Linked DNA regions of Mus musculus: region 1 is reported to be linked to region 2. Evidence: microRNA targets listed by miRTarBase, many of them from high-throughput screens and not tested one by one. Region 2 holds a microRNA gene; the other region holds the end of a gene's coding sequence.

Evidence for each region. The annotated mature microRNA mmu-miR-471-3p reads UGAAAGGUGCCAUACUAUGUAU and lies in region 2 at 3,677-3,698, shown strand. An mRNA with a match to its seed (bases 2 to 7 or 8) in the 3' UTR can be bound and repressed. Matches are read on the target gene's strand: a 7mer-m8 pairs with bases 2 to 8, a 7mer-A1 pairs with bases 2 to 7 and ends in A, and an 8mer does both.
Region 1: miRTarBase lists Lmx1a as a target of mmu-miR-471-3p. Seed matches in the 3' UTR shown: 8mer at 1,485-1,492.

Annotation. Positions count from the first base shown.
Region 1 is chr1:167,845,718-167,852,832 of GRCm38, forward strand. Lmx1a (LIM homeobox transcription factor 1 alpha) reads left to right here. Exons shown (of 8, transcript NM_033652.5): 8 at 884-3,016. The coding sequence ends at 1,044. Among named protein-coding and RNA genes, the nearest start is that of Lmx1a, 160 kb to the left of the region's middle.
Region 2 is chrX:66,789,173-66,796,296 of GRCm38, reverse strand. Mir471 (microRNA 471) reads left to right here and starts at 3,636; the gene lies at 3,636-3,702. Mir883b (microRNA 883b) reads left to right here and starts at 6,330; the gene lies at 6,330-6,407.

The DNA of each region.
Region 1 (7,115 bases), not on the chromosome of region 2:
CAAACACTTAACCATGGTGTTTGTGGACCCTCACTTCCCAACCTCAAGAACACGTACACTCTAGGTTTTTATGTGTGTCTCCCAGTGATGCCCATCCATTTCCTCTTTAGAAGACACATATAACACTCAAAACATATTCTCTGTCACATGGGAGACCAGGGAAGATGTGATTTTGTTGTTCATTTTGCAAATCCTTATGTCAATGACTTTAGCAAAATGAACAATTGAAGCTCAATGATAAGTTTTAGGTACTTGCTTCTGCCTCTCCAGTTGAACTGAAGTGCAGGTATACCCTGCCATGCCGCCCAGGTTGCAAGTTTTTGATTGGTACCTCAGCTGTGTTATAGTGTGACCCCCTGGTCCTTCTCTCCAGGGTGCAGTTGAGGCCAGGTACCTAACTTCCTTTGTTGTGAGGCAGAAATCTGGGGAGACAGAGAAACATTGGTACATCTCTGCTACTGGAAATGACCAATGTTACCAGCAAGATCAGAACTTCACTTGAAGAATCCATGTTCATTTCTTACCATCTGTCCTTGAGGAGCCCTTTGTGAGGCTGAGGACATTCAGAATCCCTGTCTATGTCCCTCCAGCCTTTGGAGATGAGTTCTGCCTACCCCGTGTTTACTGTGTAGATACCCTCACTGTGCATACCTTCACTCATGTGGCTTAATGTTTCCCAACTTTGGACAAGAGCTCTCTATGAGACCCCTAGCATCGTAACCTTTACATTGTTGTGTCTAGTTGTTCCCACCCCATAGCGCATACTTAGTAGGTCCTCATCCCTGGGATGTGTTCAAACACTTGTTGAGGTCAGCTAATTTCCTAGCATACAAGGGTGTTACTTCTTCCAGACCCTCATTGCCATGTTCCATCTTCATTTCAGGTGCTGAACCTCTTTTCCATGACTTGGATAGTGATGACACATCTCTCAGTAACCTGGGAGACTGCTTCCTGGCAACCTCAGAAGCTGGGCCCCTGCAGTCCAGAGTGGGAAACCCCATTGACCATCTGTACTCCATGCAGAATTCCTATTTCACCTCTTGAGTCTTCTCCTACAATTTTGTGACCTGGGCTCCCATATGGAACAACCATACTGTGTGAAGGGTTGCTGACTTTAGGATGGGGAGGCCAGAGAAGAGGTGGGCTGGGGAGGGAGGTTTGTTGGGGATGCTGTTGTTTAATTATATGGTGTAGCTCAGCATTTCCAAAGACTGAATACATTATGGATTGCATAGTTTAATGTTTCTAATAAGAGTCTTAGTGTTAGATATGAAGATGTGTTTATCATTAAGGGCAGGGTCTTTTAATATAGACATTCTCAAGCAAACTAGATATCTAGGGACTCCTAACAGCTTCCCACCGTTCTGGAGAAGTGCTTGTCAAGAGGTGCCGTATGTCTATTCATCTACACACCAATAGACAGACAGATTTGTGTGTGTGTGTGTGTGTGTGTGTGTGTGTGTGTGTGTATGAGTGTGTGTAAAACCTTTCATACTTTATCATCAAAGTTTATTCCTAATTATAACAGACACCAACTGTACAGCAAAAGTAACTTTATTTTCAGTGTGAACTATATTTAAGGAAATGCTTGATGCACTTAAGTTATAAAATGAGATAATTTACTTTTATAAACTTTATTTTTAGTTTGGAGAGACTCATCGGCAGGGCAGAGAGAACTGTTCCACCGGGCCCCACAGCTCTGAGTGCTTGAGTTCACTCTGTGATCAGAGCATCATTGAGGTCTAGAATACAACTCCAGATGGCAGGCAGCATGCTATAGTGAACTCATGCTCACCCTGGTGTCCAGTCACTGGGCCTGAATGAGATTTTAGGCTTATTGGCATGGGATTGTTGGGCAGCATCAGCAAGGTTGTCCTTACCCCCACCCCCACCCCAGATTCAGCCTCGATGAGTGTGGATGAAGTTGATAGCCACACCTACCTCTCTCTCTATGAGTGTGGATGAGGTGGTTGCCACACCTACCTCCCTGGGGACAATAAGGCTCCATACCAGGACATGATCGAAGTTGAAACTAAAATAAATCTGATATGATTTAAAATATAACCGAGTCATGTACCTGATGATAGAGGATACCTGGGACCACAGAGCAGGAAGTTCTGGTACCCTAAGTCCTATCTCTCTGCATAGCCCATATGGCCACATGACAGAGACACAGCTCTGAGGGGGTGGAGACTACGCTCCATCTGAGAAGGTGGAAGAGGCGTGGTGGATGGAATTCTAGAACAAGTGTTGACTTGCACATCTGTTGTTTTTTTTTTTTTTGTTTTGTTTTGTTTTGTTCTTACTTTTTAAAAAGTCACTTCAACGTGACTGTATGCACCCCCAAAAGCCGGAATTACTTGTGATCTCTGTTTGTCTCTTTCTTGAGGGCCCATAATCTGGGGGCCTGCTCATAAACAGCCTCATGGAGTTCATAGAAGCAGAGGGGACCAGGCAGGTACCCAGGGCTCTTCCCTCCAACTCATGTTGCAGTCCCTGAGCACAGGAAGACCCAGTAGCCATTGTACACAGGGACAATCCCGTGCCCTGAACTCCATTGTATACAGGGACAGTTCCATGCCCTGATCTCCAATTACGGTGCTAGAGTGGGATCTTCTGTGTTAGGATCCTTCTGGGGAAGCAGAATGAGTGTAGGGGGAAGAAAGAAGGGCTCCAGTGAGAGGGGCTGTGACAGGCATGACGTCATGCCCGGGACCATCATCAGAGCCATGACTATGCCCACATATCCACTTCATTCTCTTTAAGGCCAGAGGAAGCATGTCCCTTAGTGGTAGAGTGTGTGTTGTGTGATTTTTGTGCTCTTCTTTATAATTTATACAAACCGTCAGGAAACCTGAACCAGTCTGTGGGCTGAGAATGAGGCGGGTGTAGGGGGCACAGACAGTGTCTGTGTGGCTGATTGGTTGAGGAATGTAGCAGATATGTGAATGAAAGCAAACAGAGATCCTTAATTCTACTCTCTAATGACATACCGAGATGAAATTAAAAGCCTCTTACAAATGAGCCTTTGTTTATTTGGGGGAATATGGTGGGCGGGGGGCTGGGGTGGGAGGCATGGAAGTTTCTCCCAAGGAGGTTTGAGTTTCTTTTGCAGAGGCACTGGGATGTGCTTGTGGTGAAACTTTAACTAGAGTCAAGCCTAAAGGGAAGGGGTTCTGCAACCTCTTGCTAAGATGGATAAGGTCCTAAAGCCTCCCCCTTGGAGGTTCTAGAAACCGTCCACCCTTGTCGTAGAGTTCCCTCATTGGCTTTGGATCATCACGGGGGCATTCTAAAGAAGCAGTATTTCTCGTGTAGGGTTCGAGACAAATGCCTGCCAGGATGGCAGAGCAGAGCAGCAGCCCACCAATATGGTTCCCTGAAAGAGTCTCCCAGAGTTCTCAGCCATTTAGAGATTTCACTAACATGGAGGAGAGTTTGGGCTAAAAGATGTCTTGCTCTAGTGTTCTGAGGAGTCTTTGCTCATGGCTCCCAAGCATTCCCTGGGGACTGGCTATCTCTGACCCATGTTCTCTCCTTCCAACTCTGAGCAGACAGACCTGGTCATATCCAAATTCCACCTTGTTAAGTGCTGTTTGGCCCTTGAACAAGGTACTTCACCCTGCTGATCTGATTCCTTATAGAGTGACAGAGATGATACTTGTCACCATCGTCTGGGTGAAGGGGACAGTGAGTATGGCCTACAAAGCACTGTGCCTGTCAACGGCAACAAGCTAAGGAGTGGGTTGACTGGCCTCAGGACCTGATCAATGATGAATGACCTATGGAAGTCTCAGGCTATCTTTGAAGAAATGGAGAGGATGCTGGCCTGTCTGAGCCGAAGGCAGTCTTCTATAGCTCTCACCAGATGGGTATTTTTTAAATCTCAATGAAAGCATCACTTAATCCAAGGCAGACATGTAGGGTGTGGCTCCTGTTGTGCAGAAGACATATAGAAAATAATTCCACTTTTGAAAACATGTCAACAAACCCCCTGACAAAGCACATAGAAGGAGTTCTCAGAGCATAGGACATTTCTCCTGACATCTCCAGGAATCTACATGGGAAGTGGGAGAAGTGAAACTAGGATCAGAGTGGAGAAGCAACAGGCTGCCTAGGAGAAATGAATTGATTTAATGCCTAGCAAAGTGGGAAGGAAGTAGAATTAGCCTTTCAGCTCCAAAATCAAAAACAAAATAAAGTCCAACTGAAGGGCATGTAAAATCTCTCTGTCTCTGCATCTCAGTGTCTCTTTGTCTGTCTGTCTCTCTGACTCTCTCTCAAAATACACAGTAAGATGAAATACCAAAGTTTAACTTCAATAAAATAGTCCTACCAAGAGTCACAGTTGAATCAAAACCAAATTGACACATTCTTTCCCTAACTCTTACTTATAGTTATTATTTCAATGACAGGAGAGGAAGAATCATTGTTAGCATTCAAGAGAAGGTCTTGAGGTTTTTATTCTTGAATTCTCTCTCTCTCTCTCTCTCTCTCTCTCTCTCTCTCTCTCTCCCTCCCTCTCTCTCTCTCTCTCTCTCTCCCTCCCTCTCTCTCTCTCTCTCTCTCTCTCTCTCACACACACACACACACACAGAAAAGTTTGTGTTGCACAGAGACACCCTTGTCTTGAATCCAAGCTGGGCTCTCAGATTTCATCTCTTCATCAGTTAAGCATGGCCATTGACAGTTGTCTGCACGTGACAAACAAAATCAATAAGCAAAAACAAGGTTTGTGGGCTCTGTCACGTTGTAGATATTAGAGAGCTCCCAGTATTCAGTTCTGCGGGCACAGATGAGTCAGCCACGGCGGAGCATCATCTCTGCGAACAGTTCTTCTGTGCACTGTGAAGGCTCAACTTGCTGCTCTCCATCCTTCTCTAAGGACGGGCTGTCTCGGAGAAGGACAGATATACTGGGTCAGGGTGGAAGTGACCTCTGTCCTCTCCCAGCAGCTGCAGTCCCTGAAGCTACTGCCTGATGGACCTCTCTCTTGTCCCTTCAGGGCAGAATTCTGAAAGATTGTGGGGGTGACAATATCTTTCAGAATAGCATGTGATGCATCAACTGGTCTCTTGGTGCCACACAAATGCTTAAGGTGAGAAGGGCCTATCTGGATAGTTGTACAGATTAGCAACTTATCTAAAACACTTATTGCCTCTTCCTTTATTTATTTGGTCCTTTCACAAAATTAAGTGATTCATTCACCAGTATTTGTAAGGACCAGGAATGTGCTTTGTTCTGAGATAGGTAAACAGACAAACAAACAAAAACAAACCAGATGTCAGGAGAAAGAGGTAAAGTTCCTGCCTGATTAGAAATGGCAATTTATACGGAGAAAGCTGTCAGTCCAAGTCTAATCAATTGAGGTTGCAAAATTCAACAGTAACAGAGAAGATTTGCCTCCTGCATGGTTAACAGCTGTAGGTAGAAAGAATCCCAGGGGTTCTCTGGTCTGTATTATGTGCAAAAACGTCCTTGGAATCAAAGGAAAGGGGCCACTGTCAATCAACACATGTTTATTAAGTCTGGCCACGGGCATTTGCTGCATTCAGTCAGTACAGCCTATCTCTGATAACATCACTCTGATAGCCCTTGGGGAGTTGACCTTCCTCAGTTGTGTGTAGTCTTGGAGGACTTCAAGTCAAGGTGGCCTGGTCCACAGTCACTTAGGGACAGGTGTCACATAGCCAGTGATCAGCCCACCAACCTCTCTAGACATCAGTGGAGCAAGACCAATCAGGACACCCATTGGGATCTGGTTCCTTTCTGGAGATTTCCCCAACAGGATGGTCCAAATAGAGGGAGCTTGGAGCCAAGTGTGGGTAGAATTTGGATATAGAGAGGGGGAGAGGGAGGACATCTAGAACAAATGGCCTCATATAGGTAAGATGGTACAAAGGGCCAAATGCATAATATGTGTAATATATGGGGTACTATGGTTGGAGTGGAGGGCAGAATATGGAGAAACTGAGGTCCTGAGTCAATCAGGGTAGAAATGCTGGAGTGACACAGCTAGTTATGTCCTAATATATACCAAAGATATCTTCCTCAATGTATGTCAAAGAGCACTAGACATCCCACATAATTGACTGTACTCTGATGTAGCACTCTACATGTCTAGCGGGCATAAGGGGACTTGGGATAAAGCTCATATTTCTTGGGCTCCGTTGCAGGCTACATTCCTGTAATGAGATACAACGAAGATACAGTGACATTTTAAAACCATCTTCCCTAAAGATGACTGGCATGTGCCTTTCCCCTCATTGGTGTTACTTCCTCTTTGTGTGGGATGAAGAGGTGATAGCGAAGCTGGAATGGCCCAGTGAGATTACAGCAGCCATGTAGAAGGAAGCAGCTTGGGTCTCAAGGAAGTCTGGAAGCCACTTGGTCACTGCATTCCTGAGATATCATGACCCAGAAGAGAAATAAACAGTTTGATTTATTAACTTGCTGGGGGTTTTTTTTGTGCTTCTTTGATATATAACCAATCCTAACCATGTCTGTATGTGTATGTTATTTACATATGTATGTAGGTACATGTGTGGATGCACAAGTATGTTTCTGTTGAGATCAAATGATAATAACAGGAGTCTTTCTCAGTTTCTCTCTCATTTTTAAAAGGTTTATATTTATCTTATTATTTTTTAAATGTGTGTTCATGAGTGCCTCCACTTGTATTGTGCCATGTGCTACATGTGCCCTTGTAGGCTAGAAATGTTGTCAGGTCCCTTGGAAATGGAGGTACAGATAATTGTAAGCATGGGTGCTGGAAGAGCATCAAGTGCCCTCAGATGCGCCGTCTGTACAGCCTCTCCAACTTAGTTTTGAGACTGAGTCTTTCACTGAACCTGGAACTCATTTATTTGGCTAGGCTAACTGGCCAGCCAATGAGCTTCAGGATTTTGTCTAACTCCAGCTACTCAGCCTGGGATTACTGGTGTAGATACTTGGCATTTTATGTGTGTGTTGGGGATGCAAAGTCAGGCACGCCTGCATGTGTGGGAAGGTCTTTTCATATGAGCCACCTTGCCAGCCTATTTTGTTCCCCTTCTGCTGCCGATACAAAGAATGAGTGCTCCAAATATTGTGTTCCTAGAGAATGGGAGACATGT
Region 2 (7,124 bases):
TTTAAGTTTTTGAATTAAAATATAATTCTGACTCACTTTCCTTCCCACCCTCCACTCTCCCATATGGCCCCCTTTCTCTCTCTCTCTCTCTCTCTCTCTCTCTCTCTCTCTCTCTCTCTCTGTGTGTGTGTGTGTGTGTGTGTGTGTGTGTACACGTGTGCACATAAATATGTGAGTATGTATATAATATGGTAGACTACTTGGTATTAAATAACTAATTTGCTGGCTTATCCCTGTGAAAAGCTACTTTTTCCACTCAGCATTGCTTAAGTGTTTGCAGATTAGTTTTACATGCATGCATACATACATACATACATACATACATACATACATACATACATACATACTGCATACATTTATTTATTTGTCTAGGGGTTATGGCTCAAGAAACCAAATGAGTTTGATCACCTCTAGGTAGTAATGGTATAATGACTAACTATTGCTCTCAGCTTGACTGATTTTTTGGAATCAGCTAATAGATGAGCCACAGGCAACAGGGTCAGATTATTTCAAATGAGAAGAGCCACCCTAAATAACAGACAGTGCCTCCAATAGCATCCTACCTAGATAAAAGTGATAGAATAGAAAAAGTTGTTGGTTTTATTTTTTTTTTTTTTACTTTGTGAGATTATTATATAATTATATCCTGTTCTTCCCTACAAACTTTCCATATTCCTTCTTGCTCTTTCCAAATTTACAGTGTCCTTTTTCATTAATTGTTACAAACTATTCCCTCTGCTATATGTAACCCCTCTGGCTAAAGAGGTTATAGTTTGGTTATCATTATTCACTGGCTAATATCCACGTAGAAGTAAATGCTTACCATATGTTTCTATCTGGGTCTTTTTAAAACTCTCATAGGATGATTATTTTTCTAGCTCCATCTATTTCCCAGCAAGTCTCATGATGTCATTCTTAACAGGTAATACGTCATTGTTTAAATGTACCACAGGCTTTTTATTCAGTTTGAGGGACACTTAAAAAATTGGATTGTTTTCAATTTTTGGCTATTATGAATAGATCGGCAATGAGCAGGGTTAAGCATTTGTCCTTGTGGTAGGATGAAGATCCTTTAGGTATATGCCCAAAAGAAGTATAGCTGGATCTTAAGATATATCAGTTCCCAACTTTCTGAGGAACCACCATATTTTCTATTTTTGATGTACAAGTTTGCAGTCCCATTAGCAATGGAGGAGTGTTTCCTTTGCCCCACATCTTCTCTATCACGTTGTCACATGTTGATATTTAGCCATTTTGACAGGTGTAAAATGGAATATCAAAGTAGTTTTTATTTGAATTTTCCTGATGGCTAAAGATTTTGCACATTTATTTATTTTGGTGTTTCTCATTCATTTGAGTTTCTGTTATTGTGAATTTTCTGTTTAGACCTATACCCTATTTTTAATTGGATTTTTATATGTAATTTTAAATTCCTTATATATCTTGCATATTAGTCTTCTGTCAGATAATGCAGTTTGTAAAAATCTTTTCTTATTCTCTAGGCTGCCACTGGGGTGGAGAGATGACTCAGAGGTTAAGAATTTGGCATCACTTCAGAGTTATAAAAAATACATGGATTTTCAGGTATTGTGCTGTGATAGATGATAGATGATGTGATAGATGTCACAGAAATTGCTAAGTAATGAAAAATGTATACATTTAAGATACTGAAAATAAAAATTTAAATGTACAAGTTTATTTTTTCTCCTTGTTTCTGTGTCTCTGAGTTAATGTAAGCCTCCCCCACTGCAGTTTGTAGATACAACTTTTTGGTGATGTCATTGTAGGTACATTACCCCTAAACTCAGGTGCTTTGGTCCTAAGAGTGCTTAGTCAGATACTTTATGAGAGATGCTCTATCACTCAGTATTACCCTAGCATGAATACTTTTCCATTAGAGGAATAAAAAGAAATAGAGGACATGAGAGAACTTGTTCATACAAGAAAATATGGTACAAATCTTATTCTCTTCTTTGGCAATCCTTATTCCCTTTAAGAAAAGCGTCAGCTCTCATTTTTGAGAAATGCAAAGAGAAATTAAACAGTTTGGATAGCATGATCTTCATAACTCTTAATAGTTTAGGTATTGTCGTAAATTGGCAATTTGATAAAATTTGAGAGGGATAATGAAGCTTTTGCTAAGTTATTGCTAAAATTGGTTAAATAACATTTTGGAGTTAGTCTCATGCTGAATACTGGGACTACATTTGACTAGGTTCTCTCTGGGTTATTAAAATTCATCATGTTTCTCACTTGATTTATAGTCTTAAATAGCAGTGACTTTTCACTTCAAGTAACATTGAGGTCACTTTTATATTAGTAGGTGAGTTAGGGTTACTTGATATATTTTGTATTGTCAATTTACCTTGCAAATGTACATAGATGAAGAAGCACAAAAGAATGAGCTCCTCCTACATGGGATCTAAATAAAACCATGTAGAAGAAGGGAAAAGGGAAAAGGTAGTATAATTTCCTTTCCTGAGAATATTAAAGAAATTTACTAGTATTATATCATGTTACTATGGGAGAATTCATACATGTCTTCATACATGTCTTTGGGGATTATGGAAATTATCTGAGAAATGCTTTCTTTACATAAAAAGTTGTGGAATGAGTTGGAAATGACTAACATGCTTAAAGTATATTCTTTGAAAACAAATTTTTAAATAAAAACTTAAAGAATAAAAACAGAAAGAACTTTCAGTGACTCCATAATCTGAAAAAGAAAATGGCAACAAGCTTACTCAAAGCGGTTTGTTGACACAAAATGAATGTGAGAGGGATCCCTTTGAACATGTATGGTAAAAGGTATTGTCTACTATATTCACTAAGACTTGTGAATATGTTAGGTCATGTTGCAAGTCCCCTATACTTGAACATATATGTTGAAAGCTCAAGATGAAGTTAAGTTTCTTATGGGCTGTATTTTATTCACCTTGGTGTTTATCAAGTGAATGACTATGAAAACCACCATGGTGGTTAAAGTAAAGTTCATAATGTTCTTCATATTGGTTAGAATATGTAACAGCAGTTATCCTTCACATGCCTTTCTGAGACATGTTGGAAATAAGTGCCTCCAGAAAGTGTATTCCCAGGTAGGCCTTAATTTTATAATGGTCACATCGTAAGTGCAACACTTCATTCTACAAGTCCTATATTCTGCATTATTCAGAAGTCACTCTTCCATGTCTAGCATGCTCCAAATACAATTTTGCAGGCGTACCATGTAGACTTTGTGGTGTACATGTACACAAACCAACAGTATGTTACTTTATGATAGAATGCTCTGTAGTCACTGTCATAGCAGACATATTTAAGATGTGTTCATGACATAATCTTTATTTTTAATTTGTGGGTTACAGGCAAAAAGTATCAAGAACCTAAAGGAGTGTACTAAAATAAGGAAGAAAAATTAGGAATCAGCTTAATATCTTAGAAATGAGAACAATTCTCATAAACAGAAGGTAAGATAGGAAGGACATGATCTTATAAGAATGTGTACTATTTTACAATAAATATTATATTCTAAGATTGAAGAATAAATTAGACAATGATTCAGGTAACATATTATGAGTGGTAGAGTAAATGATAGAGGCCTCATTTGCAATACGTTTATATGAAGAATATTGTGAGCAGTGCTTTACGTAGTATAGTGCTTTTCACATTAAACAAAAAGTGAAAGGTGCCATACTATGTATAGGAAGGCTTACCATGTTCCTCAATTGTTGTTGCTTTATACCATCAACATGGTTTGAGTGTATACCTTTACAATGGTTTTCTGGTTCTAGTTTTCTTCATCTAGGTTTTGTTTCCTGAGGATAATTTCATTTCTCCAATATCCCCTTGAGGAACAACATATGGATTTACAAACATAAAAATCTAGAAGACACATTTCACTTTAATGTCAACAAATAACATTAATATGATGTTATTGGTTTTGTTTTTGGCAGTCATCCTAGTAAATAGGAGGTTACTATAAATATGTAGGAAATACAATAGAAAGGGCAATTGAGTTTTATTTCATAGGAGCTATCAGTACATATGATTATAGAGTTCAAGATTATAAAGATTGTGAGGTCATAAAATATCTGGGGTAGATTTTGTTGATTTTTCACTTTCTTCTGACAGATGTGACTAGTTTGTTCTTCTGTAGCAGGCTCTAAACCTGAGTAAGACTTCCAATTGTTCCTTTACCTTGGCAGCTTGCATTGAAACTTCTGATATCATGAAAGCCAGTCCTCAGAGAAAAAGTCTAGGCCAATATCATCTTTATTCTTCCAAATCCTGTTTCTGAAATGTGAGGTGCCTTCTAGAATAGGGTTTTACTTTGAACTTTGGGAGGAAACCAGTTGTCTATTGGTTTGTTGGTCTCTTGGATCTGACCTGTTAATAAAGTCAAGCTAAGAAAAACTAAATTGGCACAAGGACAATTAAACAAGGCAAAAGACATGACCATGGTTATAATTCCAGAAAGGAAAACATGATCAAGCTTTTGTTCTTGGTATTGACAAGCATTCATCTGAAGATTGTACAGGTAAAAAAACCTGCTTTCAGAAAGATGAATGGTGTAGGGATATGAGTTTATTATTCTCTAGAACTTACAATTAAATCAAATCAAGGTATAAATATCTTGTTTTACAAATAATGATGGGATATCTGAAGGCAACGATTTTAATAATGAAGTTTCTGCAATTTAACATGAAGTTTCACATCAATGGCATTCCATCTATGTTGGATTCCTTCATGAGAAATAGATGTAAGTACTTCTTCTCTAGATGAAAAAAATGCTCACCATATTCCTCATGAACTTATTGTAGCATCTTGAAGGTAAAAATATAATTCTTGGATTTATATTTAACTGGGCAGTTGGATTATATTTAGTGTTTTCTCAGTTTAGCTCATCTTGCCTCAGCGACTATATGAAATTCAGTCGTGAAGATACTTGATGAATGATTCTTCAATGAGTTCATGTTTCCTCTGGGAACAGCCTATGATCTCAGGAACAAGAATCTGCACCTAGACGCCAGTTGCTAGGCATAAAGTTTCATGTGGCCTATTACTTCAAGAGACAAGAATGGTAGAATATGCCAGTGGTACAGTGTAAGCTACCTGGCATTTAGTTTCTCATGCCTCTAACCTCAGTATGGTTCTAACGAGTAAAAAACACCAAATGTCTGTCTTCATGTGATCCCTGAAACCCGAGGCAGGGATTACCTTCATGCACACGTACATAATTTAGACCATACTTACCACTTGGGAATGGGCACCTAACTGATCAGGGGACTTATCCTTAAAAAAATACTAGCTCTCCCTTAGCAGCCTGAACTAGATATGGGAATTATGGACCCTTCCTCAATCAGTCTTTTGCAAATCTTGTACGAGCAACCATTAACTGTTGAAAGTGTGTTGGTGAAACAGCCTTATCATGTACAAAAGACAGTAGTTTACACTTTGACAAGTTGTGATTCTTTATAAAATAGCCTTTTGTCTTATTTAAAAAACAAAAACAAAAAACTTTTGCTGGGCAGTGCATGCCTTTAATCCCAGCATTTGGGGGCTGGTTGGGGGGTGGGCAGAGGCAGGCATATTTCTGAGTTTGAGGCTAGCCTGGCCTACAGAGTGAGTTCCAGTATAGCCCATGCTACACAGAGAAACCCTATCGAGAGAGACAGAGACAAAGAGAAAACAACTTTTCATCAGAACTGTGAGTTGCACTAATCAGTGAGTATAAGCTAAGCACATATAATGTAAAAAACCAAAATGAAATCAATCTCATCTCTCTGGTTTTGACAAAAATTCAGTGGAACAAGTGTTAAAGGAAATGCTTAGAGGAAAAAATATGGAGTGGTTGAATCTTAGGGTCTTCGGAATATCTTTGTAACTTACAGGTATTGTAATACATTGTGCTTGTAAGATTTTAAGTGACTATAACAAATACCTATCTCCTTCAAGTCAAGAAGACTATATTCCTCACTTGATCTGTCTTTGGGATAGTGATGATTTCATTTCTGTAGGTAATGTTGAAATCGTTTTTTCCATATGTAAACCTTTTGTATCTAATGACCTAGGTAGTCTTTGTGTTTTCAGTTATTCATATCATGAGAATATAAAGTATAAACTATATTATATCAATGTAATGTAATAAAAAGTCATGTGAATGGTTTATAAATCACTTGCTTCAGAAAGCTAAATGGAGGTAAAGAAGATTATAATTGCTCTTATCTTAATTGTGAAGAAAGAAATTTATTATATATGTATACTTGATAGTCCAAAAAATTGTAATATCTTTTAATTCTTTCAGACTTAATTTCCTCACTCAATATTCTGTGTGCAATGCATTACTGAGAATGGGTAGCAGTCACTTTGTACTATGAGTAACTGCAACATCTCTCAGTATTGTAAGGTTCAACAAATACAAGGGTGGTAGCCACATGGACATAGTCTTCACACAGTGGATGAGTTTCTTGATTTCAAGATACATTGCAGTCACTTTAAAACAGACATCCCCATGATAGATTTGTTGTTGCTTTCATAATTTTAATTCTAGTGTTATATGAATATGAAACATCTTAAGATATATTAATATGGAAAATAATAACATAATAATGAGTTTGAAGTCTTGGAAGTAGGGAATGCTATGAGAAGAATGTGTAGTGAAGAACAGTAATTAGTTACTCTCTGAGTCTCAGGAAATAAGATTAGAATGTGTTTTTAATTTAATTTATGTTATAGTGATAAAGTATCCTGACAAAAAAGAAATTTAGCAGGGAAAGGATTTATCTCAGCTCATGATTCTAGGTTCTAGTTAACCTTTCTGGAGAATTCAAGGCAAGAACTCAAGGACTTTGTCATATCACATCCACAGTCAAGAACAAAGAATAAATACATCCTTGCTTGCTTAATAGTCAGATAGTTTCTATCCCTTTTTGAAAAATTCCTTTATTTACTTTTATTTTATGAATATTTATGTTCCTGCATATATTTATATGTATCACGGGCATGATGGTGGCTTCAGAAGCTAGAAGAAATGTTGAATCTCTTAAATCTTAAGTTGTAGGCAGTAGCAAACTACCTAGTATAGATGCTAGGTACCAAAACTGTGTCTAATACATGAACAGGAAGTT